Linked DNA regions of Oreochromis niloticus. Each later gene encodes a partner of the first gene's protein in a complex. Links are inferred from orthologs where the notes say so. Each region holds a gene or a part of one and is shown in the gene's direction. Other genes may lie near its edges.

The links.
Region 2: the proteins of fzd4 (region 1) and ndp are in contact, whole or in part, in a crystal structure (PDB 5BQE), measured with the Homo sapiens proteins. The link is inferred for Oreochromis niloticus from reciprocal best matches to the Homo sapiens genes FZD4 and NDP. Residues at the interface, in NP_036325.2 of Homo sapiens: Ser51, Met52, Gln54, Asn55, Leu56, Gly57, Gln95, Phe96, Met105, Thr107, Lys109, Ile114, Asn152, His154, Met157, Cys158, Met159, Glu160, Gly161, Pro162; in NP_000257.1 of Homo sapiens: Asp33, Ser34, Pro36, Arg38, Met40, Arg41, His42, His43, Tyr44, Val45, Asp46, Lys58, Met59, Val60, Leu61, Lys102, Lys104, Leu106, Tyr122, Leu124, Ser125.

What each region holds. Positions count from the first base shown.
Region 1 is NC_031979.2:17,449,584-17,465,192, reverse strand, and holds the start of fzd4 (frizzled-4), read left to right. Parts: upstream 1-8,495; 5' UTR 8,496-8,952; coding exon 8,953-9,216; intron 9,217-13,352; coding exon 13,353-13,490; intron 13,491-13,620; coding exon 13,621-14,007; intron 14,008-14,417; coding exon 14,418-14,563; intron 14,564-15,211; coding exon 15,212-15,459; intron 15,460-15,609. UniProt on the Homo sapiens protein: Receptor for Wnt proteins.
Region 2 is NC_031987.2:31,087,552-31,102,939, reverse strand, and holds the start of ndp (norrin), read left to right. Parts: upstream 1-7,199; 5' UTR 7,200-9,896; intron 9,897-11,211; exon of another isoform or gene 11,212-11,282; 5' UTR 11,283-11,417; intron 11,418-13,964; 5' UTR 13,965-14,061; intron 14,062-15,388. Other genes in the region: efhc2 (EF-hand domain-containing family member C2), read left to right, coding at 683-799. UniProt on the Homo sapiens protein: Activates the canonical Wnt signaling pathway through FZD4 and LRP5 coreceptor.

The sequences.
Region 1 (15,609 bases):
CAAACGGAAAAGCAGCTTGTCTACATCTCTGTCTGTGTGTCAGCAAGGATCATTTGTCTTCCAGTCCGTGCACGCGTGTGTGTCTGTGTGTGTGTGTCTTCAGAGAAAGGTTCAGTGTGCATGCAAGATTATGTCTGTCAGCCACTGTCTGCAGTAAAGCTAGCAGTCGTGAGACAAAGAGGGGACACATAAACACACAACTGGACTGAGCGGACGTGGTATGGTGAGAATGCTACGGCGGGCACCCACTATTGCAACAAAGATGAATAAGCCGTTTGTATAAAGCATTTTGCAAGCACACACTCACTCTCACACTCACCATATGCTGGATGACGTATGACCACAAACCCACATCAGGTATCAAAACTCACGTTCGCTTACACTGTACACACAGGCATTACACACTCAGGTACTGACTAAAAACGAACAACAAGAGCCACAGATGCATTTTTTTATACGCTTGTGATCTTTTGAATGCTTTAGACGGTTTCTGTGGTGGAGAATTTGAAACACAGGTATGACTGTAAAAGCATCAAAAGACAATATCATCAGTACCGAGACTGGGCGTGCCAGCATGTGAATTCTTTTCAGGTTATTCTTGTCCAGAGTCTCTGAATGAGCGGCACGAAAACAGGAATCTGACTGTTGAATGAAAAGTGTTTGTGTTTATGTGAGAGCAACACTGTGAGGGAGGGGACTGTGTCTAGCAGGCACTCCACATATCAAACAGTCTGGCTGTGTGCTGCTTCTTTAACTCAAGTAAAAGAGAAACACTCTAACCACAACCCGTGTGTGTACATAATAAGGTGAAACCGTTATGGAACCGGCGTATGCATACAGATATAGACGCACGCATTTGGTGATATTTAAAAAGATGCACCAATATTATCTAGTGAACATCAACAGTCAGCATTCACAGTGTTTCCAGTGATTACACCACAGTTCTGCAGGCTAGGACCAGTTCAGCTCTCTGTAGCACTGATCAGTTCGTACTTAAGTCTGGGGGGGGCACGACCTGATGGGCAGAACAAACAGCCCACGGGGTTAATATGTAATGCTTTACAAATCATTATTTTCGAAACACTCCTTGCCATTTTTTTTTCTAAACCAATTTTATCCTTGTAGTTTGGAATAACAATGACTTAGCGCCATTCCTAACACTAAACATTTTTGGCGTTGCTATAAAATGACCTGGAAAAGCTCAGGAAAGTGTGGAAATTAAACACGCCTGAAGCTGCAGATTGTTTATGAGTGTTTTCATATTATCACAAAGGCACACATGCAGGGGAGTGCCTCAGCCTACACAAGCGTAATGGCCTTTTCCTCCTACATACAGCAGTGCATCTTTGCTTTGGGTCCAAACCACTGAGGCCAGATCAAACTAAACACTGACATATAAATATCCAACAGAGGTATTTTGCATCATAAAATAAACATTTTATCTTACATTGTTGTTTTTCTTGCACTTTCCACTTCTAAACAATTGATCTTGTGATTTACTTACCCCATGTGTGCTCAGATATAAACTATGAGTACATTGCTATATGCTTGTGTGTGTATTTGTGCTTGTCTGTATTCCCACGACAGGGCTAGTGTTTACTCTTCCTCTGGAGAGACGAGTTCTATTTAAGGGAGCGGAGCAACAAGATGGGGAAGAGACAGGTGCCAAGGAAGTCAGCGCAGAGGTCTATGAATAACAAACTAAGGGAGAAGCAGATGATGGTGTGTTTGCTGTAGAAACCAGAACACTGAGCACTCAGCAACTAAAACAACGATTCCTTTTATGACTATGTGACAGTTATTCTTTCAGTTGGTTATAGAAATAAATACAGATTCGTCTTCTCTTTGCTTTCTCTTTTGGTCTCTCTGTGAGTGCACACCGCAGTTGTATCCGCTTCCAGCTCTCTGAAGTCGCTCCCGCTTTCCTCTCTGCATATCTCCCACTGTATTGGAAAAACAGGGTGTCCACCTTCGTCCTCTAAGCATAATAAATCAGTCTCTCCTTTGCTCTCTCCCGCTCCCCCCTCTGTTCCGATGCACAGCTGCATGTTGGATGTCAGCCCTTCGACACAACAATTGACAGAACATTTCCACTTCATAGTCAGAACAAGCACACGCCTGCTCTTATCGCATATTTTGTTTCCAAACTCGTGTGCTTATGTGTGTGTGTGAGTTACTGTGTGTGCTCTGAGCCTTTAAACCACTCATCACTCTGTCTGCTTTGCCTTGACTCACAAATGTCAATAATCGGACGGAACATGCACAAACTACCCAAAGGTGTTATTGGACGTGCTCATTGTGTATACATGCGGTCATCTTATGGTGTCATGGTGGTTCTACAGTTCATGGATGAATAGTGCGCCAAGAGCACACACACACACAAACACACAAACACACACACACACACACACACACACACAGTTGTGCTAAAGTGGCTCCCAGAAGTTGTCTGTTAAAGAGCAGTCCAGCTCCTCAATTATACAGTCTTTCATGAAAAGGTTCAGTGTCTTGGTTTTTGCCATGTTTGATTGAACACTCGCACTCCCCAGAAATCGCCATACCACAAAAATGATTGCTTTACTTGCAAGCAGTGAACAAATTGCAGCAATACTCAAATATATATTAGAATACAGTTAGTTAACAAATGTTGAAGTTACTCATCTCTGGCCGCATTATCCAGCTCATTAAAAAGGCATGTCGCTCTTCATACATGAAATACTGTAAAGTCAGACCCACCCACTCCCAGCAAGCAGGGAGATAAATCAGTCACTGAGCAGGGCCACAGAGATCCATATTATGTAGTTACTTAGTTACAGGACATTAATAAAACTCATCCCAGTCACCGGCCAGAGGAGAGGAGAAACAGCTGTGTCTGCAGAAGGTCAGGAGGAGGAGGTGAACTACTCCCTAATTCTCTGTGAGCACGAATGTGTTCACAGTTCATCAGAATTAAGCGTTTGCACAATATATCTCCCTTCTGATTAATAATGACCATAAAGACACAGTCATAACACAAAGAAACACATTCAGCAGCAACAGCTACCTAATTGGTTTGCCCGGCCTACTTAGCTGACCTCTCCTGACATGCTCTGCACAGACACATGTTTTTTCATCCATTATTACGGCACTGCTGTAATCACAGGGAGCTGCATTCATTTGCTGGTGCAGATGTTCCAAAGATAGGAGATGATTTTATTTTACTCTTTTTTTTCTCCCTCTCTCCCTCCCTCTCTCTCTTCTGAGCCAAATACTCACCCACGCAGTCATATACAGAAATGGGGACATTTTTAAGAAGAGAGCACATCCGTCCGCATCCCAACTGGACCGCTACCACCTGCTCATCGGACTTCTGGGAAAAGCTCATCAGCTGCCCTGGGCTGTGAGAGAGGAGTCTGCTGTTACAGACAAGCAGGGTTACAGGGGTTAACTTTCCAACAAGAGGCCAATTTACAGCCACGGACAGGAACCATCTATCAGCACTCTGTTGCTTGTCACCAAACAAGCCAAACAGGGCCGCCTTGGGCTAAAGTCACCACTCAAAAAAGTGGCTTTTAGAATTTAAGATGAATAGACAAGACACTTCCCGGTGTGCAGTGGTATCCTGCCAGTGAGGTTCAAGTCTTTATGCAGAAGTTAGTAACAATATTTTATGTAGGGTATTATTAGATACACATGTCCCTTGCTCAGATAAGAAGAAAAACTGAAATTTTAAGGAAAAACTGCCATAAATGTTGTTGCCTATAAGAGGCTTTACAGCTGAGCTGTTTTTATGATATGTATAAAATATAAAAATTTAAATAAATTTAAATAAATCTCGTATTTTATCATTTTGACTGTATTTTTTATCCCTATTTAGGTCACATGCACCACTGTTTACACTGCAAATAAGTCAGGCACAAAGCATATATGCCAATATCCTGCCAAGAAGACATGAGAAAAACCTCAGTGTCAAATTACAAATCATATTAAATTCATGGTAATGTAATTTTAAACTGAGATAATGACAGTATTTTACATGTGAAGGAGCCATATAGTTGCCATGGCTGACATATTACGTTGTTGCAATGAACTTCAATATTGATAACACTGTAACTGACTGTAAACTTGTTTAGTTTGCTGTAAAGCTCAGAATTTTAACATTAGAAGGGTCCCTTTCTGATCTTGTTGATTTACTGAACATTTTCTCTTTCACACATACACAACCCAAAAGACCTTTCTACCAAGAACATGATTCTCCGAACGTTTTACTGAAAATTTCAACGTATAAATTGTTCATATCAGACCTAAAATTATGAGTATTATTTTTTTTCATCTAAATTTTGATTTCATTTGCAAGCTTTGTGACTCCAGTCCTAAAAAGAGGAGGAGGAGAAGACTGACAGCTTGAAAAGGAGGCTGGGAGTGGCAGTAAAGAGCTGGAATCAGGGGCCAGATTACGATGGAGGAGAGTTGATGAAAGAGAGTGTGTGGTATATAGCATTATACAATGGAGTAATGTGAACCTACTATCCTACGGGGGACAGATCACTTGTAAGGAAAAAGAAAAGAATTGGTAAAAAAAAACATTCTTGTGTCAAACACCCCGAACCCCGTACTGACATAACCACTCACTTCAGCATCATCAACACGTAGCACCAATCCTACACAAACCCTCGCATGCAAAGGAGTTTAAAATACTAAATTCATGGAAGCAAAGCCGCACATCATTAGCAGCACACTAGTCTATGTCGAACATTTTCAGTTATGCACACTCACACCATTCCAAGGAGTTGGCAGGCCTATTAATACCACACTTCAAGGACTAAGGGATTGGGCATGGAGCCATAAGATGCTATCTGGTGACAGATACACACTTGTGTCTCTCTTTCTGTCCTCAGGGTAGTGCTTTTCACTCCGCCTGCCAAGCTGAAAGGTTAGAATGGTTACATTCCCACAGTAAGACCCAGTTGGCCTTCACAGGGTTGTGACAAATCTCAGATGTTTTTAGTATATGAAGATATTTTTTTAGGAAGAAGCATTTTGTATTTAGTGCTGTTTTAAAGGTTTCATATGGCATAATGGTGCGTCTTTCCACAAAACTGAAAGGAGAGTGTTGCTGCTATAATGTGCTTTTTTCCCCAGAAAATAAACAGAGCAACCATGGAGGAAGTAAGTAACAAAATCTAATTCACTCTGAACATCTGCTATTAAATCATTAGGACAGATGCAGGTGCCCTGCCCACTCACAGACTGTATCTGATTTTAGCAGCTGTCATCTCAAGTGAAGCTTCGTTACCAGTAATCATAAATCAGCACAGCATTGGCACAACCATTTTAAAACCAGCAGTCACGTCAACAAAAGATGCAGAGACTCGACTCTGTCAAACATTTCTTTAATTTGTTTCTTCTCCCTCACTTCTCCCTTTATTAACCAAAGACTAAAGATGAATTAAACTGGTAGGAGTGGGACTGGGTGAGGCGTTTCACTTATTATATTTGCCCAACCAGCTTACCTCCTGCGGTGTCTATAATTCTGCACATGTACTTTTTTGTTATTGTGGAAGTAACAAAGGTGGCAGTGGTGCAGAGTAGGGATTAGGGGAAGTTAAGACCTCAGGGAAGTTTGAACTCGGGCCAACCAGGGCACATGTCCTTCCAAAGGCAGGGCTCTTTAAGCATTAAACCATCAAAATGTTAGCAGAGGTGGGTAATTTGGGGATGAGAACCACACCACCGAGTCCTTTCTGTTGGCATCAGCATGCAAAAAGAGTCACATGAACGCTGTCTTGGAGAAAACTGTGTGGCATTGATAATTAGAAAGCCCTGACTATTTTTGCTTGGCCTTCAGCAGTGGAAATCAGCATTACTGGATTGCAAAACAAACCGCACACAGACCTCATGCGGTATGTTTGAGAAAGTCATTTTAAAGGTTTATTCCTTCTTGTTACAAAATCAGTAAAAACATACCAAACGGAACTGCGCTGTTATGCTGCTGTTGAAGCGACTTCTGCCACCGGTGATCTGAATGGCTGAAATTCCTCACCTTCCCACATCCACACAAGCATTTAATAGATTTTGATTGCATATTTACTACGACCAGGTCCCACCTCTGCAGCCTTCAAATCCTGCGTTCCGTACAGTCACTATAAATTAACTACTCAGTGTAAATGTTGATGTTATGCTTAGCCTGACCAAAGTATTGGCAGACCTATTTCCTTTCAAAGCTGATTGCTGGTTTGGTTAGAACGTGGTTTGTGCTAAGATGCAGGATGGCTCAAAAAATACCCTCCATGTGGATTCGTAAAAACTACTATCAAAGTACTAAAATAATTTATTATGAACAGTCAGAACATCTGTGTCCCATGCAATCAGTCAGCTGTATTAATATTTATAATGCACATCTGTTTCTTTTAAATACAAGTTACATGTATAAACATATTTAAATGGGACTACTTTTTGTTTTTTGCTGAGCAGCTGAATGTCAGTTCAGGAATGTATAAGTGTGTAATGTATGATGTGTTAGTTTTGTAGCTTAAAGGGTAATTGTGGTCATTATCTACCCAGTGTAATAGTCATTAGGTCGTCCATTCAAACATGTTAAATGCTCACTTCTGCTATTCACACTCTGTTGGGAAGGTGAGGGGGGTGGTGTGTGTGTGTGTGTGTGTGTGTGTGTGTGTGTGTGTGTGTGTGTGTGTGTGTGTGTGTGTGTGTGCTGATGCCACTTTTCTCTGCTTTCACGGATACTTACTTTTTCCAGCAATCTCACTTTGAATGCTCACAAGTTCCTAAATTAAGCTTTGCTCCAGAACTTTGGTCCCAAGTTTGCTTCGTTTTAAGTTCCCATGCATTCACTTCATTCTTTTGGATCCATGCGCACACACTCTCACGCACACAAGCCACTCCCCTGATAGCCATCAGCTCCAAGGCACACGCTATTGTTTCAGCTCGGTGCTAATTACTTCAGGTCTTGACCTCGGGTTCAGACGAAGAGCAATAGAGGGGGAAGGTGCGTATGCGAATATGTGCCCCTCTGAATGTGTGAGTGTTTCTGCGTTGGGGGTTGGGGTGGTTGGTTGGGGAGGTCATTGGTGCTGCCAATCAGTTTTCACACTGGATTTGCGAAACCATCATGGGGTGATCTAAGAGGGAGCTAGAACAGCAGCACAATGACACCAGTCAACTTGACTGCTGCTGATTTGGACATGTTTTCAGCATTTGTGCAACTCTCTGATATAGACAGGAACTCTCAGAAAATCTGATAGAAATGGTTTGATGTGCAAAAGTGTTTCTAGTTCAAGTTTCAAGTCTATTATATCACAATTAAGTATCTCTGCAATGTTACTGTTCTTTTCTTCTCCCGTTTGTTCCAGTTTTTGTTGCTAATGTTTACTTTGTGTGAGTAGATAGTAGAGATTAAACAGGCACATATTTGGGGTCAGGGCGAACTTTTATGTTTGTGTCCATGAAAGGGTGTGTATTCAGTTGTTTCAATAGGTTAACTCCTGAACCTTGATAAATAATGCTTGGACGTGGTACATATTTAAATGACAGAACTACAGCAGTCCTTGCACATAGATGGAATTTAACTAGAGAATCATAACTTTGCAGAAAAGCCCGAGTACTGTATATCTGCTAGTCTGCAACTGCATCTGAATTTTCTGAGTTTGATTACATCTGGGAGATTCTTTAAGCTGTCATAATTCTGCATGTTACTTTGAAGAACACACACATGAAGCATCCCTTCTCCCAAAATATTTGCAAGCATATCCAAGCCCTTTCTCACCCAAGGCCACTTAACAACACAGAAAAGCCAAAGCAACACTATTCACCGCTAGTGTCATGCTGTAAAAAAAAAAAAAAAAAAAAAAAAAAAACCTTCTCCCTGGGTGCCACTTGCAAACAAAACCTGTCCAGTATGTGCATTCACTGCAATGCAAAACAGATTTCCAATGCTTCAGCATCACTTAAGGCCCTATTTTCAATTACAATGTCATGAGCACTTAGAGCTGACAGGCCTTTAGAGCAGGGGAGTGGAACCTGTGGTGGCGTTCCAGATGCCCTTAAAAGACAATTAAGGACTTTAAATATAAAACACACAAACACACACACACACACATGCACACTCTAAATCTACTTTTCAGATGCATATTTTCTAAAAATACAGCCAATAAAATTATATGTAGACCACATCATCCGGTCAAAATACATGTTCTGGATATTGTCAGAATTAGCTAGGGAATGCTTCTCATTTTCTTTTCAGGGGGAAAGGAGAGGAAACACAGTGAGAAGAATGAGAAAAGAAAAGAAAAGAAAAGCATGAAAAGGAAATGAGACGGGAGAAGGCAAAATGCTGAAGGAAAGGAAAGAGCGAGAGGGGGGAGAGAGTATAAAGGGGAGAGGGGAGTGGATGAAGCTCGCTCTTCTATTTTTCTCTCGAATCCCGCCCACCTGGCCAGGGGTTGGTCAGGGAAACCCAACTCCCGTGCTTGGATTGGTCGGCTTTTCTCTGGACGAGGAAAATAGTCTCCCTTCACAGACACAATAAAGTTTAATGCTGGACGCTTGGAAGCAGTAGGCACAAAATCAGTCCCGCTGTATGTTTTGTCGGTCCGCTGCGCTTTCCCACACGGAGTTACTGACGGGAGACGTCATAAGAAGGACTTGAGGATTTATCAAGATGCAGTTTTGTTTGTTTGTTTCTCAAACTGCAAGTGCGCACGTTCTTTTAATTGAAAACACGCGCTTTTGATATCGCAATGATCCACTTCTGCGTTCAGGATATTTGAATTTATTGAATGGCTCAGAGTGGGATTGTGTAGCTCCCAGAGCGCACGGACGAACACGCACTCCGCTCCAGCTGGACTACAAACGCCGCTGTAGGTTCCAGGGCGACTTAACCCGACTGTGTTTGACGAGATAATAACTGTGGCAACATTTACAGAGGGGCAGCCGCTCAATATCAGGGTGACCATGCCCGGGATGATGGTGTCGCTCACGGGGTCAGCAGTGCTTCTCTTATCCGGATTGGTCGCTCCGCTCTGCTTGGTCAGGGCTTTTGGCGATGAGGTGGAGGAGATGACCTGCGACCCGATCCGGATCAGCATGTGCCAGGGTCTCGGTTACAACGTCACCAAGATGCCCAACTTGGTCGGCAACGTGCTGCAGTCGGACGCAGAGCTGCAACTGACCACGTTCACGCCGCTCATTCAGTACGGCTGCTCAAGTCAACTCAAGGTAGTGGACCCATGCGAATCGTAGCGACTGATGTCAAGGCATCACAACAGAGTAGAATAACCACCATGCAAATATAATAATAATAATGATGATAATAATACACCATTAACGTGCACAAATTTAGGAACAAGCCTGGTCTAAAAAAAAGCATGGCTCAGTCTGGAATCTCTGCTATATTTATTTGCGTGCGTCAAAGAGAGAGGAGCAGTGTGTTTGTCTCAAAGCGCATGACAGAGCTGCAGCACCGCGAACTGATCAGACTGATGGCCCCGGTGATAATGAGGGCCATAACATGAGTTGATTCCCACGGAGTCAAGAGGAGCGGGCGGGAGCGGGGGGCTCCGTGCCTTCCTCCCTTTCCTGTTGTGCCAGGCTGTCATGCTAAATTCATTGAAAATGCCCCCTCTGTCTGTTGACATTCTGAGTTCATGCCCCTCACAGCAACAGCTGAGTCTTCAGTGCTATATACTGCACTGTCTTGTTAACAATGATGCCCTCAGTGTCATAAAACAAATGCTGCTTGTTTGACTCCTGCACCATGTAAGGAAAAAAGAAAAAGATTGGTCCAATTATGTGACATTTCATTTTCTATTATTGGAGCAGCTGGTGGCACATCAGAGATTTCTTTTAGAGATGGCAAGTTTCAGTGTGGACAAGTGGTGTTTACATTTTTCTATAATTTGCTTTTATTCCCTTTATTTAGAGACGCCCAGTTTCAAAGGCATGCAAGCATGTCCAGATCGTCTAGACATCCTCGCACACTGACATGAAATCAAGCCCACACCTTTCCAAGTGCTTTTTCCCCCCCTCAGTCCTTATTTTAAGTCCACTGCCCTGCCTGGAGTGGCATGTGATTTTATTACAGCGTTAGAGTGACTTATTGCTGTGTGCAGCTGTTGGGAAATAGGGGTAAAAAAATATTTTGGCATGTTAAATTAATACACTGCTTAAGAAGCATACAGTGTGTGCTAGATGACCACACAGATCAAGAAGCAACTGCAGCATGAAGCCAAACTGTCCTCCTCCAGTTGTAAATTGTCCAGTAAGTTTAGCTGACAACCCAGTTTCTCTCTCTCTCTCTCTCACACACACACACACACACACACACACACACACACAGATGCTAAAGAGGGAGAAAGGGGAAAGAGGAACCGTATCATTTAACATTTGCTCTAATGGGAGGCTTCCTGAGTAGTAACCGGAGTAGCTTTTCGCAGTGAAGTGACAGGACTCAGGTTACCAACAGTCAGGGAAAACACCCAGAATATGTGAGGTTACTGTCACAGCTTGAGTATGCAGAGCTCACCGTGAGAATTATTTGAAGTATAACATGTGTTGTATGTCTTATGAACTTCTTTGAATGCTTTAGTAACTCAAACCAAGACAATATTACAACATTTGGGTTGATTGCATTTTATCAAGTCACAATTATTCAGGATGGCAGGTCTTCAATAAATTTCAGGAACATACATTCTCTGTTTTTGGTGAGAAACTCTATAACAGGGATGTCAAACTCATTTTACATTGTTGGCCACATAAAGGCCACTTTGGGCCAGACCAGTGAAACTACATGATAACCCAGATGCCGATCAGGGAACAGTGTAATAAGCTGAGAGTTTAAAGGACGTTTTCTTAGACTCGGATTAGTGATTTTGATATTGCCGCGGTAACAAGTCGCTGATTCATTATCAGAAGACAAGTCAACATTATCTGCTTGTAGATGTGTAGCAGAACAGTAGCTCAGTCATTTAATGTATATTAAATTTGTTTATATCTCAAACATGCTTCAGTGCACAGAGGCAACAGTTTTAACCTTTCCCCACCAGTAAATTCTCACAGACACTAAGAGTTGTATAACATTTCCCTGATTATTTATTTCCCAACCTTGACACCCTTGTTGGATTCATGTTTCATTTGGGCTCCGTTCAAGGGCCGATTTCAAGCTGCGATTTGTTTATAACTGGATCAAGGCTGCACTTCTGTAACATGTAGTTCCTGCTGTGGCCCAATACATATTTTGATATTTTTCAAATGGAAAAACAGCATCAAACCTTTTACTCCAGCACATTTTTTTAACCACTCCAAGTGCCTAGAGCTTGTTTCCGTTATCTCATGGTAGCTGAGTGAAATGCACTTTCTGCTTCTGTGTGTTTTCATATCATGAGCCTGGTACAATTTTACACTCTGGCTTCAAACAGATTTCACTATAAATGCATGAAATCACTTAAAATTGCTACCCTCTGTAACCCCAGAGTATTTCTTCCCTCACTGCTGCTAGAATGTCTGCACGCAGTCAAATGTGACTCCAGACTGTTCACTATCTTTATAACACTGACTTAGATATCTATTTCAAAACTATTGCCATGGGACAGAATAAAAACCAGGCTTAGATCAGGGGGATCATGCAGCATTACACGGCACATGCCCTCACTGCTGTAATGACCACAGATTGTTTTTGATGGTACGGATTTGTATGCGTAACCTTGGAGCAGGTTAGTGTTGACTCTCTCTGTCTTGACTCAAGATGTGGCATTCCTTATTAGAGGTGAAAATAGAGAGCCGCTAATAGAAGAGGTGATGCAATGTAATGAAAGTCGGAGCAGAAAAAGCAGCAGGATAGCGAGATGTATATGCAAGTAGCTGGAGGAGCCACATGTGGGAGTACTGTACAGTTAGCAGCTGTAATCCAGTTGTAATATACAGAAAGCCTACAGGGCCGGCATTACACTCACAGCACTGTTTTCACTCCTTTAAAATACACCACACAAATGACACAATTTACCTTTGATTCACTTCAATCAAACTGTGAAACACAAGTCTAAAAAGTATGACATAAGATTGGATAACTGTTGCTCTCCTATTGCAATTTCAGTGTTTAATTGAAACTGGCTTAAGTATACTGTTGCTTTCACTTGCTCTAGATGAACTGGAATTGGAGCTTAGTACCAGTACCAGTTTTTAATGGGCAAAAACTTCTGATATTCATATATACATATTCATATATATTCCTTATACTGCACAGAGGATGAAAAAGCCCTTTAGAGTTCACTGCTTTGAGAATTCAATGGGAGGAGTGCTGCTGGCATCATTAGCGTCCACTTGTCCCCTTTTGAGCTGTGGTTCTCGAACTGTCGGGCGGACCCCAAAGAGGCTCACTTGAGCTGGACTATGAAAGGGCCAAGTTGAATGATAATGATTATTGTGGTTGAAAATAAACAAGCATTTACAGATGATATCATGCTGGCTTTTATTTCACTAAAGTTAAACTTGTATTCATTTCATAAATTATTAACTGTTGTTGGGTGTGGAGCATTAGCTTTTGTCCTGCTTCTGAAGTGTGGCATGCCAGAGGGCCTTGGAGGGAAGGGTCACTCCAACTCAGAGTTGTTCCGAGGGATCCCCTTTATATTATGATGAAACACTTCTATCTTGATAGTATTGGCTTTTTCAAGGGAACAAAGGGTAAATGAATAATTTGATTAGTGTGAAAATGATTTGAATAATATACTGTGGGTTTAGAGTCACTTGGTGCCAACCCAGGTGAACATCTGTGGAGATTCTGGACAGATGTTTTAGACAGCATTCCCCACTAGCATCATTAAAAACAACCAATGGGTGAAAATCCTTTAGAAGAGTAGTGTTCATGCCTACACTTAAAGAATCAGTGGCAAGGCTTATTGAAGCACTTCTGACAGCCATGCAATGGACCAACACCTTAAGTAAGAAGCTTTATGTTGGTTGTCCTTCATTTTTCTGCCCATACCTTATGTTAGAGTTATGCTGAACAGGAAAATGATGAGTGGCCATTGTTTCTGAACTTCCGGCAATGTGTTTGACAAATTAGACACAACTTGACCCTGCACCTACTCGGCTGTGGTTCCCTGACACAACTGCAGACATCGATGAGAGTATTGTGAACAATCTTCCCAAAGAGAAGCGCAAATATGCCGGTATATTAGTATTAGACTAATATATTGTTCATGTGACAATGTTTTTCCTCCCAAAAGTTACTTTGCAGTCACTCTTTGCTCCATGACTTTAAATCTCATCACAGAATGCATAGTTTGCCAAACTTGATTACATTTGCAAAGGATCACATGTTAAACATGTATTTCTTTATCTCCACTTTCCAACAGTTCTTCTTGTGCTCAGTTTATGTGCCAATGTGCACAGACAAGGTTCCCATCCCTATTGGTCCATGTGGCAGCATGTGTCTGTCGGTCAAGAAAAAATGCCTCCCCGTGCTCCACGAGTTTGGCTTCATATGGCCTGAGGTGAGTCGTATCACCAAAGACATCACGCATGTCTTAAAAAAATATGAGTTCAGGATGTAGTTTAGCAATGTGGAAAACCAAGAAACGTTTAAATCCATTACTGACATTACCCATTATATTTTCTGCCCAGGAGCTCAATTGCAGCCTCTTCCCACCTCAAAACGACCACAACCACATGTGTATGGAGGGTCCAGGGGATGAAGACCCTCCATACCAGCCCGTCCGCCATCCTCCCCACCAAGAGGAGTGTCACGCCCTGGGATCTGCACCTGACCAATATACTTGGCTTAAACAGACTGAAAGCTGTACGCTCCAGTGCGGCTATGACAGCGGGCTCTACAGGCGAGGGGCCAAAGTGTTCACGGATGCGTGGATGGCGGTGTGGGCTGTGCTGTGCTTCCTCTCAACCACTCTGACAGTCTTGACCTTTCTCTTGGATTCTCAGCGTTTCTCCTACCCAGAAAGGCCCATCATCTTTCTCTCCATGTGCTGTAACCTGTACAGCGTAGCCTACCTGGTAAGCAGGAGGTTTAGTATTATTTCAATCTATTTAATTTCACTTGTCTTGTTCTTGTTAAGAAGTAATAAAGCTATTTCATCAAAAATAATCAGATGAGCACCTTATGGAATAGTTTTTGCATATCGATTATTTTTCATATTTTATAAAAATGTTGTAGAGTAACAGCGCCAGCAGTTGAACATAATCCAACAAGAGTACAGTTTGTTTTTGAGTTTTCAAAATGTTACATCAGTGATTAAATACTAAAAGCACTTTTTGATTCATCACTGCATTCAGATAATTCAGTAATCTCCAGCTCTGCCTCTCTGCATTTAGAAAGAAAGACAATCCGTCCTCTTTCTGCCTTCTTCTGGGATTAATTCAGCCTCACCTCTTTTCCCTTTCTGTTCTTTTATGTCATTTAACAGGTACGACTGACTCTTGGGAGGGAACGTGTTTCCTGCGATCTGGATGCTGCAGCAGTGCCAATTCTGGTACAAGAAGGATTAAAGAGCACCGGCTGTTCCATAGTCTTCCTCCTCCTTTATTTCTTTGGCATGGCGTCCTCTCTCTGGTTAGTGCAAATAAACACGGACTTGCAGACTTTTTGCTGTATAAATCCTTCATCTCTTTGCCCCAGTTTAATCATTGTCATCAGCAGCTGGGAATTGTTTTTGCTAGAACAATTGGAATATGAGACTTGCATCCTGTTTTCCTTAAAGTCTTACTGCCCTGTCTCATAACCCATGTACCATTTGGGTTCATTTCCGACACATGCAAAGGTAAAAGTGACACTTCTTAAATATGTCCTGCACTGGAAACACTGCTGTTACAGCTGTTTTTCTTCCTTTTCGCTTGGGCCTTGCTTTCCTGTTTGCCTACACTCTTCCCTATTTGGAAAAGCAAGAGACCAAGGACTTCACTCTCTCCTAAAATATTATCATAACCCTCTATTATGCAACTCACGGCTAGCTGGTGTCAGGATAACTTAATTATAATTGACGACTGGCCATGTCCACCTGATTGGTTATGAAAAAGTTACATAAATGGAAAATTATGTGTTGTTCCAACAGTAATCAGTAGCCTATGGTTTTCCTAAGTATCTTAGTTTCTAGAAACAGATGTTTTCTTTTCACTATAAAAAGAAAAATATAATCTGATAAGTGTACCCATGAGAAAAATGTGTTGCTTATATTGCTCCTTTGTCTGCTCTCTCTTCCAGGTGGGTAATCCTGACCCTCACCTGGTTCTTGGCTGCAGGACTAAAGTGGGGCCATGAGGCTATAGAAATGCACAGCTCCTATTTCCACATAGCTGCATGGGCCATTCCAGCAGTTAAAACCATTGTTATCCTCATCATGAGACTGGTGGATGCAGATGACCTGACTGGGCTCTGCTATGTTGGCAACCAGCAGCAGGAAGCACTCACAGGCTTTGTGGTTGCACCACTGGCCACGTACCTGCTTATAGGTAATTAAAGCATAATATTGGTATTCATTCATCTGCTTATATTGGGTTTCCTTATTTTCTACTTTGTTTTTCTTCCTCAGCATTTCTGTAACATACTCAGTTTCTCATTACAATTTTCAAACTGGTGGTCCTCACATGTGCCCCCCTCTC
Region 2 (15,388 bases), on another chromosome or scaffold:
CGCCGGCTTCTAAGCCCAAACTCATTGCTCAGTCTCTGCTCAACTACTCTGCCGTCCTAAAAAAGCTCCAAGGTAAACCCTCGAAGTGACCAAAAATGGCCACTGCACCTTTTTAACATTTTTTTAAGGTGTCAAAAACAACAGGAATGTCACGTTGGCAGGTCCAGACAAACTAACTTCTCCTTGGGTGCCTTTTTGGTATTTGCTGCATTCCAACTCGCTTTTTAGCATTGCTGATTTTCTTATTGCCTCTGCTGTTATCATTCTTTTGTTCTGTTCATTTTACTTTATCTTGGAAACAATTCAAAAAAAAGTGGAAAGTGCTAAATGGCACTTTTGTAAGCAGGATTTTCTTTTGTTTTCTAGGGTTTAATCAGTATAATGTAGGCAGCTGTAAAGACAGCCCTTAGTTTTCTTAACGTTTGAAAAAGCAGTGCTATTTTAAATAGCCCTTTTGCTACACTCTGAAATGTTTAATTTGTGTAAAAGTGCATAGTCAAGTCATAGTCCAGAGTCAAGCAAATAAAAGAACAATAAAGAAGAGCTTTATCACAGAGAAGCACAAACAGTCACAGAGGAGAGACAGAAATAGTAAAATAAAGCTGGACACCAGAATAATCAATTATTTACAACACTAAGTATTTGAATCTGCTCAAAGTGACGTGTGTGTTCCTGTTTCCAGTTTGAAGTCGATGTGGGGTTTGATGGTGGCGGAGCTGCCGTGAAAAACATCAACTACTCTGCCTTCCTGCAGGATGCATTCAGCTTGCCCTCCAACAGCAGTGACACCTCAGCATAGACACATACCCTTACCCCATGGACACAAACACACACACACACACACTGCTCATTCCTCAATTAAAGGACATGGTACATCACATAACCAGTCTCTGTGTTTTCATCATGGGTCAGAGTGGAGATGTGTAAAACCACAGGAGAAGTGGTATGTGTGCGTGTGTGTGTGTGTGTGTGTGTGTGCGTGCGTGTGTGTGTGTGTGTGCGTACAGTTTGGCAGCAGTGGTTCAAGCGCAAAGCTAAAACAATTGAGTTAACTGGAAAATTGGTGCTTTAGGGGAGAGAAGTTGTGAGAACACAGATGTTTTTTTATGTGCTTGCATGTGTTAGTGTGTGTTTGCGATTTGGTTTGAATTTAGCCAAGATATGGTTGAAAAACACATGCTGGGCAGAGCTCTGCTCACAAATATATTGATTAAACAGTATTACCTTTACAAGAAAAAGCTGACATTTGGCAGTCATTTTGTTAATGATACCAGGTAGTTATGTTGTGTCCGCCTTGCCAAATGATTAAATTAAAGGACAAGGACATAAAAATTTTAGGTAGTAAACTTTACTACAACGTGCTACACGTTGTTCAAAGTCATCAGTGATACTCCTAAACCTAACCCTGGGAATTCAGAACATGTAGTTAATGTTTTTATGAAATTCCTTTTCCAAGTCTTGGCAATGAGGGAAGTTCGAAAACAGTCTGACACACATCAGAAACTATTCACATTTTTACAGGGTTATGGTAGGGTTAGGTTTATCTGCTATGATGACTAAGCCCTCAGAGGTTTAAGCTGCTTTAACCCTTTGAGAGCTAAGGTTAAGCCTAATTACAGCTGCCGCAGCCTCTGCAAGCTGCTTCGCAACCCTACCTCTACCCCAGCTCTTCCATTTCATACGATTTTCTGACTTAATCAGTGTCATGCTTGTTGTCACTGATGCCTGCCAAAGATAAATTACTGCAGACACAGTGGTTAACACATTTGCCTTGCAGCAAGAAAGTCCTGAATTTGAATCCACCAGCTGGCTGACGCCTTTCTGTGTGGAGGTTGCACATTCTCCCTGCATGGGTTCTTCAATTCAATTCAATTCAATTCAATTTTATTTTATTTATATAGCGCCAAATCACAACAAAAGTCGCCTCAAGGTGCTTTATATACTTGGGTACTTGGGTTCTCTCCAAGTACGCTGGCTTCACCGCCCAGTGCTCCACCCAAGTCAGATTAACTGGTGTTCTAAACTGGCCATAGGTAGGAAAGCGAGTGTGAATGGTTGTCTGTCCGTTGGTTTTGATGACAGACTGGCAACCTGTCCAGGGTGTACCTTGGACTTACCTTGTGACAACTGGGATAGCCTCGAGCCCACTGGGACCCTGGCCTGGCTTTATGCAGTTACCATAAATTCATAAGAGGTGAAATGAAATGAATGACCTCAACCATACAGCTCTTTATTCAGTATGAACCTCCTAGTCACTGGACAACTTTTCTACCTTCTCTAGAGCTGTAGAAATAGCTGAGAAGACACTAAAATTCCCAACTTGGCTAAAGCATTCACTCGTGTCTTGGCAGTTGTTCTGGGTACTGGACACAAAATTATCAGCCCTCCTGTGAAATCAAAAGTTTTCACTGGGGGGCTGATAATTTTGTCCTAATCCGTAGATGGGTTGTAATGATCCAAAATCTGGCAAATATATCCAGGACTTATATGTTTATTATCAAGGCAAAATCTTACTTTTAAAAGTAGAAATGTACATAGAGAAAACAAAATGGATTTTGTTGTTATTGTTGTCTCTCTTTGGCTTCAGTTATATATTCCTTTAGGCTCATTCCAGCATCAGTGACTTATTGTCAGTGATAGTTCTGGGATTTCTTTTCTCATACTAAATGGATGAAAACATCGCAAAGGATATTGGCAACACATAGAAGTGAGGAGTGAGCTCTTCAGAGGTCTGAATTACATGGAACTACACTCTCATGTTTGCCTGTCTGTATGTGGCACTGTTAGAATATGAAAAAGCACAGGTTGTTCAGGTTGAGGCGCCGTTGTAATGGGAGCCGGCGTTGCAAATTATAGTAAGGGGATAAGTCAAACATTGGGTAATCAAACACCCAATCCCCTTTGTGTAACCACACACACACACACATGCAAACACACACCATATGCACTGCCTCACCCCTTTCACACTGAGCACAGAAACAGTGCATTACATCACTCAGGGCATTATCAGGTCCTGTCCGCCTGCTTTCACACATACTAAAATATTAACCTCCACAGTCACCCGCCACCAAAACACAACGAGTGACGGTGATGCGGTCAGCGGTGGCGGGGAGCTTCCTGGGCACATGCTTGGCTTTTTTTTGCCTTCTGAAACATGAGGTGAGAGAGAGAGGATAATGAGGGAGGAATTTCAACGCCTCCACCACCCCCACATCGTCCAACACTCCTCTTCCTCCTGTCAGTTGCTATGCACCCACACATCCCATTTTCTGCCCTGTCACGGTCTGTGGCACAGCAACAGCAGATTGAATGGGTTGCGTCATCATCATTGGGCTTTAAAATATGGATGTGACGTATGAGGTGCACAATGTCCTTCAGGAGTAGGCTGGGTTTTTAAAAATATAGAATATTATAGTTTGAGCTGAAGTATATGAAGTACTTGCTGATCAATGATTTTTGATTGTCTTTGGATGTATTCAGAAAATAAATCACGCTTTGCGAAAAACTATAAGTTTGTTAGTAGGATGCCTCCATTATTTAAAGTGGGGAGGAAGTACTCAGAGACTTACTGACATATGGGGAAGGTCATGCAGTGAAAATATCAAAGGAAGTTATTATATTCAGGACAGTGTATTACTACTTTAAAAAGTGCCCCAGGCAGAGTAATGGTCACTGTGACTGTTATGTGTATATTACATTATAAATATGCATTCAGTTAAAAACAAGCAACTAATGATTGTGTTCTTTACAGATTAATCACTAATCATTTCGCAAATGAATCCATTAAATGTAGAGTAGAATGTAGTGGAAGACACTCATCTAGTTATGAACCAAATTTCCACTTACTGACTGCTGCTTTTTTTGCTGATAATGAGAACATCCTGAGCTTTAATATATACATGAGAAAGAACATATATAAATGTGCTGATTTATATTCATCCAGACCAGTTACAGAAGAGAATCAAAAACTATGAAAAGGAGAGAACAAACTTATTGATCTCAGAGCTTTTGCTTCTGTGTCTGACACAAAAGAAAGATGTCTGTCAGGTTTCAAAAAGCAGTTGGGTTGATCCTTCAGAAAAGTGATGGATCTTTTTCAGGAGTCCTTCCATTTGTGTAGGATGGGCCTTCTTGGCACAAGTCGACCAAAAGCAGTAATTTCAGCTTGGATTCTGTTCAGGTTCACATTTGGAGGGTTTACCCCAAATATTGCTGTAATAGCAGACAGTGCACTTTCCCCCAAATTGTAGAAAACTTTCAAAGTATTGACATCAGAAATTTTTTAAATTTGGGTACAAGCAAAGACAGTTTACAACGATCACATGTAGTCTTAAGGTCACAGTAAATTTCTGTTAATTAAATAATCTGACTTTGGCCCAGTGAAGCCTGTGTATGGTCTTAAATTGGAGTATTTAATGTTGAAGGCAGACAGAGGATGGTTGTATTAGCTGAACGACTTTGTGCCACTCCCATCTTTGTTTTGAAGAGTGTAAAGCTACAAGGCCATGAGCATTTAGTAATTTATTCCATTGTTTCAAATGCATGTTACACTTGAGGACAGCATCTAAGAGAGAACTTAGGGCAGAGGCGGACATAGGTAAAAACAAATCTTTACCAAAAAAAAGTCTTTCTCCTTCATCTGTTCTCATCTGTAAATATTGTTTAATGAGGTAAGAAGAATGCTGAACTCAAATCTATGTGAGAATTGTGCAAAAGAAAAAGATTTTTAAAACCTTTACTTGGTGCAAAGCCCTCTTTTTACGCTGCTTTTAACAGATTTCAAGGTGTCTGTACAAGAGTCTCTCCATCTAAAGCAATGCATTATCAGGGACTGTAACATCTAGTCCTTTTTACTGAATGAATGTAAATAATGTTGCAAAAATAGCTGCTTCATAACATTCAGCTAGCATACGAGAGGTTCCTGGTTCAAGACTTCCCATGAGATTGCATCTGGTGTAAAAATCAAATATCTGGAGCTGTCTGCTGTGGGGACCCCTTCTGTATAAGTTAGCAGCCAACAGAAGCTCATTTTGGCTGCTGAGAGAATGACAGAAGTAGTTTCTGAAAGTGTTTTTAAGTTGGTATGTGAATTTACTGTAGGTCATCCGCATCCCAAAGAACAAAAGTCCTCCTAGAAGTGAGTGTACCTGTTGGCACTTATTTGCGCAGTTGCTTTAAAGCATTATCAGATCTGGGGTGGTAAACCTGCAGCTCCACAGCCATATGCTGCCCTTTTGCTCATCTCACATGAGACAAATTAGCAAACACCAAAAACAGTAACATGCTAAATAATTTCAAGAAAAATCAGGATATCGCTGTATTTACAGGTCCCACAGTTGATGGTTGTCTACATGTAGCTGGAGAAAAATGAAAATGAATCTCGCATATTGAACTAGACTGTCTACTGCAGATTAGATAACTGGAATAAAATGGATGGATGGAGTCCACAGTTGAGCAGAGTAGTCAGATGTGTTAATAGGTTTTGATTTACATGAGTAAGAGCTTCATAGAGATTTTTGGGGTCAAAAGTTGCTCTTTGGAATAGTAAATGTACTTTATTTTCAGCGCAACTGCATGCACAGAATCACAGCAGTGAAAACAAAACACAACTACTGATATAAGTTTGCTGTCTTTGTCCTGAAATATGGTAGCTGGATATTGTGCCATGTGTCTCTCTTGCATTAGGGAGTAGGTAGTCCTGAATAAGTGAATGATGAGATTCATCAGCGGTTAAAAAAGGGGAAGTTTCTCAAGAAAAGAAAATTACAAATTAAAAGGAAAAATTTTTTGTTTAGCTGCAGTTGTCCACACAGAAAACAAAAGCTAACAGGCATTAGCTTCCATAATTGTAATGGACCCTACCATGGAGTTTGGTTAACTCCATAAAATTCTAATCATTGTGATGAACTTTTATAAATGTATTTATTTATTAACGTCACAATTTTAAAAAGGACTTTTATGTGAATTGATATTTGTCTGCATGCTGTATAGAAGGCAACAGTTGTCTTGCAGTGCTGTTAATGTTTAAGAAAGCGTTTTATCAAACAGCACGACGATGAACATGTGACTCAAACTTTGCAGCAAACACGGGGGCAGCGCTATCATGAATCACCCTCTGCGATGCACTGTTTAGTTCATGTGGTTTGTGTTCTGTTGCCTCAGCACGAACAGGACACTGAGGCTTGTTTTAAAGAGTCTGCTCCCTTTTTTCTTTTCTTTTTTTTTGTCCTCATTCTACATTACTGCTGTTCTGCTCAGGACGATTGTACTGTAAAAACCGATATGCAGGAAATCCATAAATGTCTCCTGGGTGAAGAGGATCTGAGTGTGCGGCGCACGGGTATGTTTGCGTGCACGCACTGTATGTGCGTGATTGGCCTAATGCAAGTCTGATGGAGTCATGGCTAATCTATGAAGTCTAAACAGATATCTGAGAACAAGAGGGGGGAGTTTCTGTTTACTGGCTGGGTTCCTTTCTTTTCTCATGACAACAAATCTTAAACCTGGAACAACACACTCACACACACACACACACACACACACACATCACAAAGCACCTGTGTTCAGATGTTGTTTTCTCAGAACTCTTCCCCCAAAGCAGCAGTTTTTGGCCCTGCACTTAACTTGGAACAATCTGCCAGTAATTGGTATAATCTTTTAATCCGCCCTGCTAATGATTTTCTACACAGTTTAAGACTGTAGTTGTGGAAAATTATCAAGTTTGTTTAGCTAAAGTCATTACCTACACAAGAAAAAAAAATACAGCCAGGGCATCAGACTTACGCCATCTCACGCTATCCCCAACACTGTCCCGCTCTGTCACACCAACCCTCTGCATGTCGTCCTTCAGTGCGTCCATAAATCTTCTCTGTGGTCTTCCTCTTTGCCTTTTTCTTGGCAGCTCCAAATTCAACATCCTTTGTTCAAAATATCCACTATTCCTCCTGCGTCCAAACCAGCTTTTTGTCCAAACTGCTCAACCTCAACTGTCCCTCTGATATACTCATTTTACTTCAATTTCAAAATATGTGTATATTTAATTTATTTGGATTTTTTAATTTTTAATTTTTTTTTTTTAATGGTCCGTTGGCCCACTTTCAGGCCTTTTTGTCACATATTTTAATCTGAGGCAAAGGATAAACATGCATATCTGAAAGACTGTTAAAGATAAAAGCCTGAATTTTTCATTGCCCTGACATACATCAAAGTACGTGTAAGTACTGGCTAGGTAAAATATGAAAAAACAAATTCAAGCCATCCTGTAAAGTCTCACATTGTGAAAGACAATTCACAAAACTGTGAATTAAAGCATGCAGAAAAGTTTTTAACATGAAATACTTAATCACGAAAGATTGAGCATATATGACAAAAACACAAGTATCAGTAGATTGTCGCGTCTAAATAAATCAGAAGTATGACATTTACAGGTGGGACTTTAATTACAACTCAGAAAATAATTTTGTTAAATATGTATAGATTTTTTTCCATTTTCTTCTTAAATCATCACATTTATAAAAACATTTTCTGCATTTAAAAAAATGCCTAGAAAGTTTATGTTTCAAAGGTTGAACATATGTTCTGTTTGCTGTGAAATTGTAGCTTTATGTATCAAATACTTTCAAGATATATTTTTGGAGAAATGGTCCATTTATCCATTTTCAGGCCTTTTTTTTTTGCACATTGAAATCTCAGACAATGTTTGAATATGATTATCTCAAAAGTGATTAAAGATAAAAGCCTGAAATTTTCATGCTGGATTGGGGAAACATAACAAGTTTTACCACAAAAACAAAATATGAGCAGATAGTTTAATCCAAATAGAACAAATCTCTGTTTTGAGTTTTTGATCATCTGATTTGAGATGGAACGACAAGTTGTGATGAAAACTTTGGAAAACCTTTGGAAATGAGAGCTAGATAGTATCTTGTTTGTTGGCTGGTTTTTGTTTTTGCCTTCTGAACACAGGTAGAGTGTTTTTGTAGCACAGTTCAAACTACCTTCACTAAACGTGGTGCCTTTCCACCTGTTGATTCTGACTCAGAAGTCCCAAGTGGGCTGCAGAGGTAGAGCAGCTACTTTAATGGTACTTCTTTGGGAATGAAGTGAGTTTAGTAGATTGTTTTTTGCAGCTCTCCCTCATTCCGGTGATTGCTCAGTGCCTATGGCCATTGGTATAGAGAGAGGGTGGAAGTAGAGAGGGGTGTAAGGCTTAGCCCCTACTTTACAGGGTCAGACCCTGCCCCAGGTGCACATGGGGAAGCACTTATTTGCTCTTTTTTTTTGTTCCATATCTCAGAATCTTTCACTTTCTCTCTTATATCCCTTTATCCACAAACCCTCCACCCAGTGGGGTTGTTCTGATTTCCCATGCAATGTCATGCACACAGCTATGTGCTTTTGGGTTTAAATGAGTGTTAAGATCATTAGCTACGGTGTGGTCTGCACTCACTGCGCCCTCATCGCCATTTGAGCCGTGCAGTTTCTCTTTGATACCACAGTTTTATTGCTGTACTAGACAATATCCCTTGATTCTGAGCTAACTGTGTTTCTCCCTGAGCTCCATAGGCAGACCTGGTACACTCATCAAACACCAAGTTGTCTTTGGCAGCTGCTGTGACATTACTCTACCTGGTCAAGAACAGAGAAAGTTATTCTACACCAGCTTTAAATTACAACTATGGGACTATTTTTGTCAGGCATTTGGCTCCCAGTGGAGACCACTTTTGAGGCAAACACGCCTGTTTTTCTGTTGCACACTGGTCTGCATAAATCTCCAAAAATAATAGCCCACTTCTATTTTTTTTAAATACTGAAAGTTAAGCTTCCAAATGAAGACTGAATACGTGTGTGTTCACCATCAGTCAGTCTGCTGTTTTATGTGTCTCGCAGACGATATGAAGTGGCTCGAAATAAGCTGTCCTGCTCCGAAGGAAACAAGTTAAAAACTGACAGATATCAATGTTTACATCTTTGGACAGGGCATCAGAGCTTTATCATCACCATAAATTCTTTGCTGGTGTTAGGATACCATGCCCAAAGGCCAGCAAATGTGTGACTCAGGTGATGCGATATGACCCTGCCCTGCTAATCCTGTTGAAGACCAGTTCGAGTGCTGGTGCTCACAGGGACAGGAGGATCAGAGTGCCTACAGCCAAGGTGGGACTTAATAAAGACATGGACCGCTGTCACATGCAACTGAAGCGAAAAAAATCTTAAGGTGGTGACACGTCACTAAAATGGAGCCGAACAAAGAGAGAAACGAGGTGTAATTTTAAAAAGTAAGTTACCTGCCAGCAGCTGTCACATTATTCTTGCTTTTTATTACCGCCCATTTACCAGCTAAAACTGCAGAGAGTGAGAGAGTTTGTCCAAGTTGTCAGGAAGCTGCTTTTGCAGCGGTATGTCAGCTCAGTGCATCCCCCTTCAGCTCAATATGTCTTCTGGCCTTTCTCCTCCGCTCTCTGCCTCCCACCCCACCCTCTTCTCCCCGCATATGGGATTCACATTTGGCTCCACTGACCGTTTTTTTAATGTGATATTATGATACATTATCTGAAGCCATTTACTCCCTGTCACCACCTCTCATGTGGACACAAGCCGAGTTAAGCCAAGGAGAGGCAGTCAGACTCCAGTCCAGGTGAGTTATGACCATTTAATTTGACACCATTCACAGCCGGCCCGATCTTTTACAATGCCTGAAAGTGCAATCAAAACACAAACACAAAACACTTACGTGTGCTTCTCGCTCTCACTCTCTAGGAGCCCGTTGGTGGCATATAAGTTTTCACCCCCACCTCCTGCTGCTGGTTGTAAATCCCCTCTGTCGAAGGTGTATTTGTGCGAGAAAGAGAGGGAACAGAAGGCGAGAAATTTGAGGGTCAGCTGAGGCCTTCCAGGTAATTGTGCTTCTTAAACTTTTGACCCTGTAAGCCCTGCTTAGTGTGGTGGACCTCTCTCCCCTTATTTCCCCTGAGAATTTTTACTCCCCATACCAAGGACATGTTCGTGTGTGATACAATGACAATATGAGCATAGGCTGTCACCAAACACGTGTTATTCTTTTACACCTTTTTTGGGGGGCCATGAACTCGTTACTTATTTCATGAGGCGATGAAAAATGGCACGAGCTAGTCCCTTAATAGGCTCTGCCTCTCTGTGCCTGTGTAAAAACTGTGAAATACCCTTTTCCCTCTGTATCCCAGTACCACAAACACATCAGGTAGTTGTCATATTTTTGATAATTCCCTATCCAGAAATGCTGAAAAGGAAGCGAGGTCACTGACGTAATCGACTGCAATAATCAGGCGACTGTCGTGCGCGCAGCCTCAGAGAATATATAACTTTCAGGGCAAGCCTCATTATTTGCCTTCTCTTCACAGCAGTGTGCCCCTTTAATATTTCCAGGGTCTGTCTGTCTTCATATTGAGCCGCTTGAGAATGATGGATGAGGTTATTACAGTTGGATCCACTCGGGGCTCTCCTATATTGCAGTTTGTTTTCATCATTTCTAAACATACAACTGACTTTAGGTTTGTGCTCATATTTCCCCTCCCCTCCGGGTTGTGTGTCTGTGTTTTAAACACAGAGTAATTTTTGGCAAATAAGTCTTTCATTCGGTTATAATTTGGCGCTTTTCATAATGTCTCCTTTTTCAATATATTCAGCGTATGTGTAGCTTTGCTTTTCTAATGGAAGTAAATGGTATCTCAGAGTTGCAATCCCAAATATGCTTCTCTCCTTCCCCTTCCTTCCTCCCCTCCAAACCACCACCACACCTGCGAACCCCTCCGCCCCTACCCCTGTGTCATGGGGGGACGCCGCGTGAAGAGGAAGGGCCGTAGGGGCCAGTTGTTTTTAAATAAACTAAATCTGCTAACAGTTTTATAACCCTGACCTCGTAAAAAACTGGCTGCAGCTTTTGGTCAGCTCTCTCTTGATGGGGCGAGCAGAGTCGTTCCAAGCCTGGAATTCCCATTTGCCGCTGCGGAGCATGTCGGTGCGTCAGCTGGTGTGCCTGCGAGAGAGAGGGAAAAGGGAAAAGGGCGTATGATATATGATTGCTGTGTCACGATCCACATGTGATGAGCGTCCTCACAGGCGGGGAGCATCCAGGCTGCTCCCTCTATCTGGTGATTTCCCTGTTAAAGAAAAGTAAGGGAGAGGGGGGCAAGGGAGGGAGAAAGAGAGAGAAAGCAGAGGTGAGAGAGAGAGAGAGAGGGAGAGGGAGGAGAGAGGAGCGCTCAGACAATCAGTGTGTGTGTGTGTGTGTGTGTGTGTGTGAGTGAGAGAGAGAGAGAGAGAGGTAGAAACAAGAGGAGAGAGGAGCTGGCTGGGAAACAACAGTTGAACAACAAATCCAGTGTTGCATGCAGCCTCTCCGGATACCTCTGCTGTCTTTCTGCTGCCGGTCACTGAAGGTAAGACCATCAGGCTGGGTGTCACACCTCTGAATCTGCACTCCTACAGATTTGGGTGCATCCTGTTGTCTTTTTCTTATAACTCTGTGTGCTGCAACTGTAGTTAATCAAACTCTGTATCAGGCATGCCATCAAGGATCCAAGTATTCACTGCTATACCCTGGATTTGTTTCACGTGTGTGCATTTTTACGTAGCTGTATGTACATCACACATGGGCTCGCTCAAAGAGAGTTTGACTGACACTCCTGCTCACTTTTATTTTCTCTCCCCCTCCTCCTCCCTTCCTCTGTTGCACATCACTAAGCTCAGGTGTGCATTCCTGTTTTACTGCAGGTCGTTTCTACACCGTGTGAGTCCAGAAACTGCAAGTGGTTGTGATTAGGACGCAGTGTGACATGATTTGTAATAAGAGGAAACATGTTTGTGTTGGCGCCGGTGGATTTGCTAATCAGGCACTGACAGCGAGGCTGGATAGTGGGAACCCGCGTGGCTTGCGGGACGTTAATGAACATCGCTGTGCGTTGATAGTGAACATCTCCAGAGATGCATGAATATGTGTTTTACAGGTGTGTGCGTTCATGGCTGTAAGTGTATGATTGACTTGGCCTGTTATGTTGGACCCCGAGGCTGCTGGCTTATGCTAGAAGTACATGATGACAGATACAATAGACTCTGTGGTAGGTAGGAGGAGGAGGAGGAGGCGAGCTACCACTTTGATTTGACTGAGGAGGAGAGGCGTGTGTGCGTGTGTGTGAGAATGATAAAGGGAGAAGGTGTTTAAATGAAAAATGAAGTGGCTACAAAAGAGTGTGGGATAATGTGAGTGGGGTAGGAAAAGAAGCCCAAGTAGGAGGAAAGGGAAAAAAATCATCTGAGAAAGAAAGAGACGGGCAGAGCCAGGAGGAGGACACAATAAATAGGAGAAACAGAATGAAACTGAGATGTGTGAGAGAGGCTGAGAAAAGAAGGGCTGGAGGAGGTGAGAGTGAGAGAGCATGACACAAGACAGGGCGGAAAAAAGAAAGCGATTGAGACCGTGTGATGCAAACAGCCCTCCAGACATCGCCATCCACTTCCGGTGACACCAGATGAGAAACAGTTTGCGCGGTAACGAAAGAAGCGCCGCAGACTCTGAGAATCACCTCTGAACTGTTTGGGGAAGAGAAAAAGGCGAAGACAAGGAGTAGGAGGTGTGTTTGAAACACTGCACAGTCAGCCAGGTGCAGATAGACAGCAATGCTCTGGCAGAGCAGCGCACACTTGGTTTTGTGTCTCATGTTTCATATTCTCACACACACACACACGCACACACACACACACTGGGGCCCATTGTGAGTATATTTATTTGGACAGTGCTGAAGCTCCGATAGGCAGTTCACAATGTCTCACTGCCACAGGAATGTGCTTCTGACAAATGGATGCTCTACACGAACCTGAGGCTATCAAGGGGATCCTTAATACCAACCACCCAGACGAGCATGTGGCAGATATCTGCTGCCCAAAGAAACCCGGTCCAGAGTGATAAAACAAATGCGTCCATGACTCCTTTCGCTCCCTCTTTTTCAAAAAGGCCTTAGGCCCAGAGCTGCATTGAGGATCGATCTAGTTACATGCGCAGCTTTTTTAGCCCACAGCTCACCACAGCTTTTCTTTTCCCCCACTTCTTTCTGATACGGATGGAGAGAACAGCAGAGGAGATGGAGTAGGGATTTGAGGTGCATGCGTGTTGACTCAAGAAGATTAGGGGGTTCTGTTTTTATCAAAGCGGTCACCAAACAGCTCCAACACTCTGGTTAAATGAGAAGAAAAAGAAACTGGAGAATATTTACACAAATGCCTTCCCTGTGAATTCTCCAATCCCAGTGCCTCTTATTTCCCACTGTTTCTGAGAAGCCTAAATTGTAAAGCTAACATAAGATTAGCTCCAGCTCACACGGCCGCCTGTCATTGGCTGTACAGTGCTCTCAAATCCACACTGTTTGTCTTATCTTTACTTGGGGGGGGGGATATATTTAGTGAGGAGCTTAGCTTTTAGGAGAGTGGCGCGTGGGGAGGGTAAGAGAGGGTGAATGTGTGTGTGTGTTTTAGACAGAGAGGAAGAGTAAGTTTGTGTGTGCGTTTTGAGAGCTGGCGTCAGTAGACAGTGGAAGAGCTTGGCACTCTGCATGCCAAACTGTGTGTGTGTTTGTGTGTGTGTGGTTGGACAGGTCTGTGGTTCTGTACACCCCCACCCTCCCTCATTTCACTGCAGTCAGGAATCTGCCCTTTAGTTTATTAAAAGCTGGTGAAACAATGGAGGGGGTGAGGTTGGGGATGAGGGCAGGTGGTGGTGGTGGTGAATAGAAAATCATGACGTAAACTCTGGGCATGATACCGAGCAGGAGCAGATCAGAAACGAGGGTGATGATGTAGCAGTAAATGTAGGAGAGAAGGCAAGATTGAGTTATTCATGACAGATCATAAAGCAACCTTTTCCCCCGCTCTACCTGTCACCTCGTCCTCACTCCATCTCCTCCATCGTCCTGTGATGCACCTGTTTTTCTCAGCAGGGCAGCGGGGGCTTAATACCCGAGCTCCCCATTGTGACTGCAGACAGGCCCATCACTGGACAACAACTGTGTACTCAGCTGCCGCCAGGCATAGGTGATAAAGCAGAGGATCCCTGAGAAGATCCAACTCCCCCTACCCAGCCCATGTGCCATCACACACCAACATCCCAGCAATGTTCAGAGCATAATAACACCCACGAGAATACCACATGACACAGCCCTTATGTACATATGTGAGGGTTTGTGTGTGTGAGATGAAAACCCATAAGTAAGGTGGGCAGGGGATATTTATACTTGCACCCCACTGCTAATCAGAAAACATGATAACAAGTATTGTGCAATTCTGTTCTACACAACATATGGCACGTACACTGGGGCGTCAGCGCAGTGTCACTTTTCATAACAGATTTTTGAGATAACGTAATTGTTTCACTTGTACCTCTTGAACAAAAGTTTTCATTATGACTTGTGTTTGTGTATCTTAGAGCAGTGGAAAACAGGGAAATCAGTTCTTGCTGTCACTGTCTGTGCGAACTGATCGATTGCTTGGTTTTACAAATGGTAAGAAAATATTGTTCACCACAGATACTCCAAAAGTAGTCAAAAATCTGAAGCTTTTCACAGATCTGGCCTGCCTGTATTTCAGACCCGTCATGATCTGTCTCTGTATCCCAGGTGAGCGTGGGGAGGCATCTTTCCCACAGTAGCCTTTAAGAGAGGCATCACAGTGTCTGCACTTCTGAAGCTTGGAATTATCTTCTCATAACTAGCTGAAGCCAAAACCTTTAGACCACACAAACTGTGGTGTGTAAGGAGGGGCTGTGTTTGTAGTAATGTGGTTTGGATTCCCACATATTATATATTTAACCCAGTTTGGATCTCTTTGCAGGTACAGGGCCCTTTTTAAAATTACCCGCCCTTTGGCTATGATGCTAAAGTTATATAAAAAATGAAGGGGAATTTGTTTAATTAGATTTTTTCTATGACAGATGATATGTATTTTTATAAGCAATAAGCACAGATCTAGAGATAGGCCTGGAGTTACAGTGCAAATAATACATGCTGTGTAATAATTTCGTCTGCCTCTGGGGCTCCAGCTTTGGCACTCTTATTAGTTTCTGAGTACTGGGAATTTCACGTTGGTCAGTTAAAGAGGAAAGGAGATTGCTTTAGATTTGGAGGCCTTTGTGCCAAATTACTGAAGTTCCAATTTGTTTGAGTAAGACCCAAAGCAGTGGACGCACTCTACAGATACATTCAATTCACTTCCATGTTATTTATACAGCGCCAAATCACAACAACAGGTGCTTTATATTGTAAGGTAGACCCCACAATAATACATAGAGAGGAAAAACCCAACAATCATATGACCCCCCCCCATGAGCAACAAAGGGAAGGAAAAACTCCCTTTTAACAGGAGG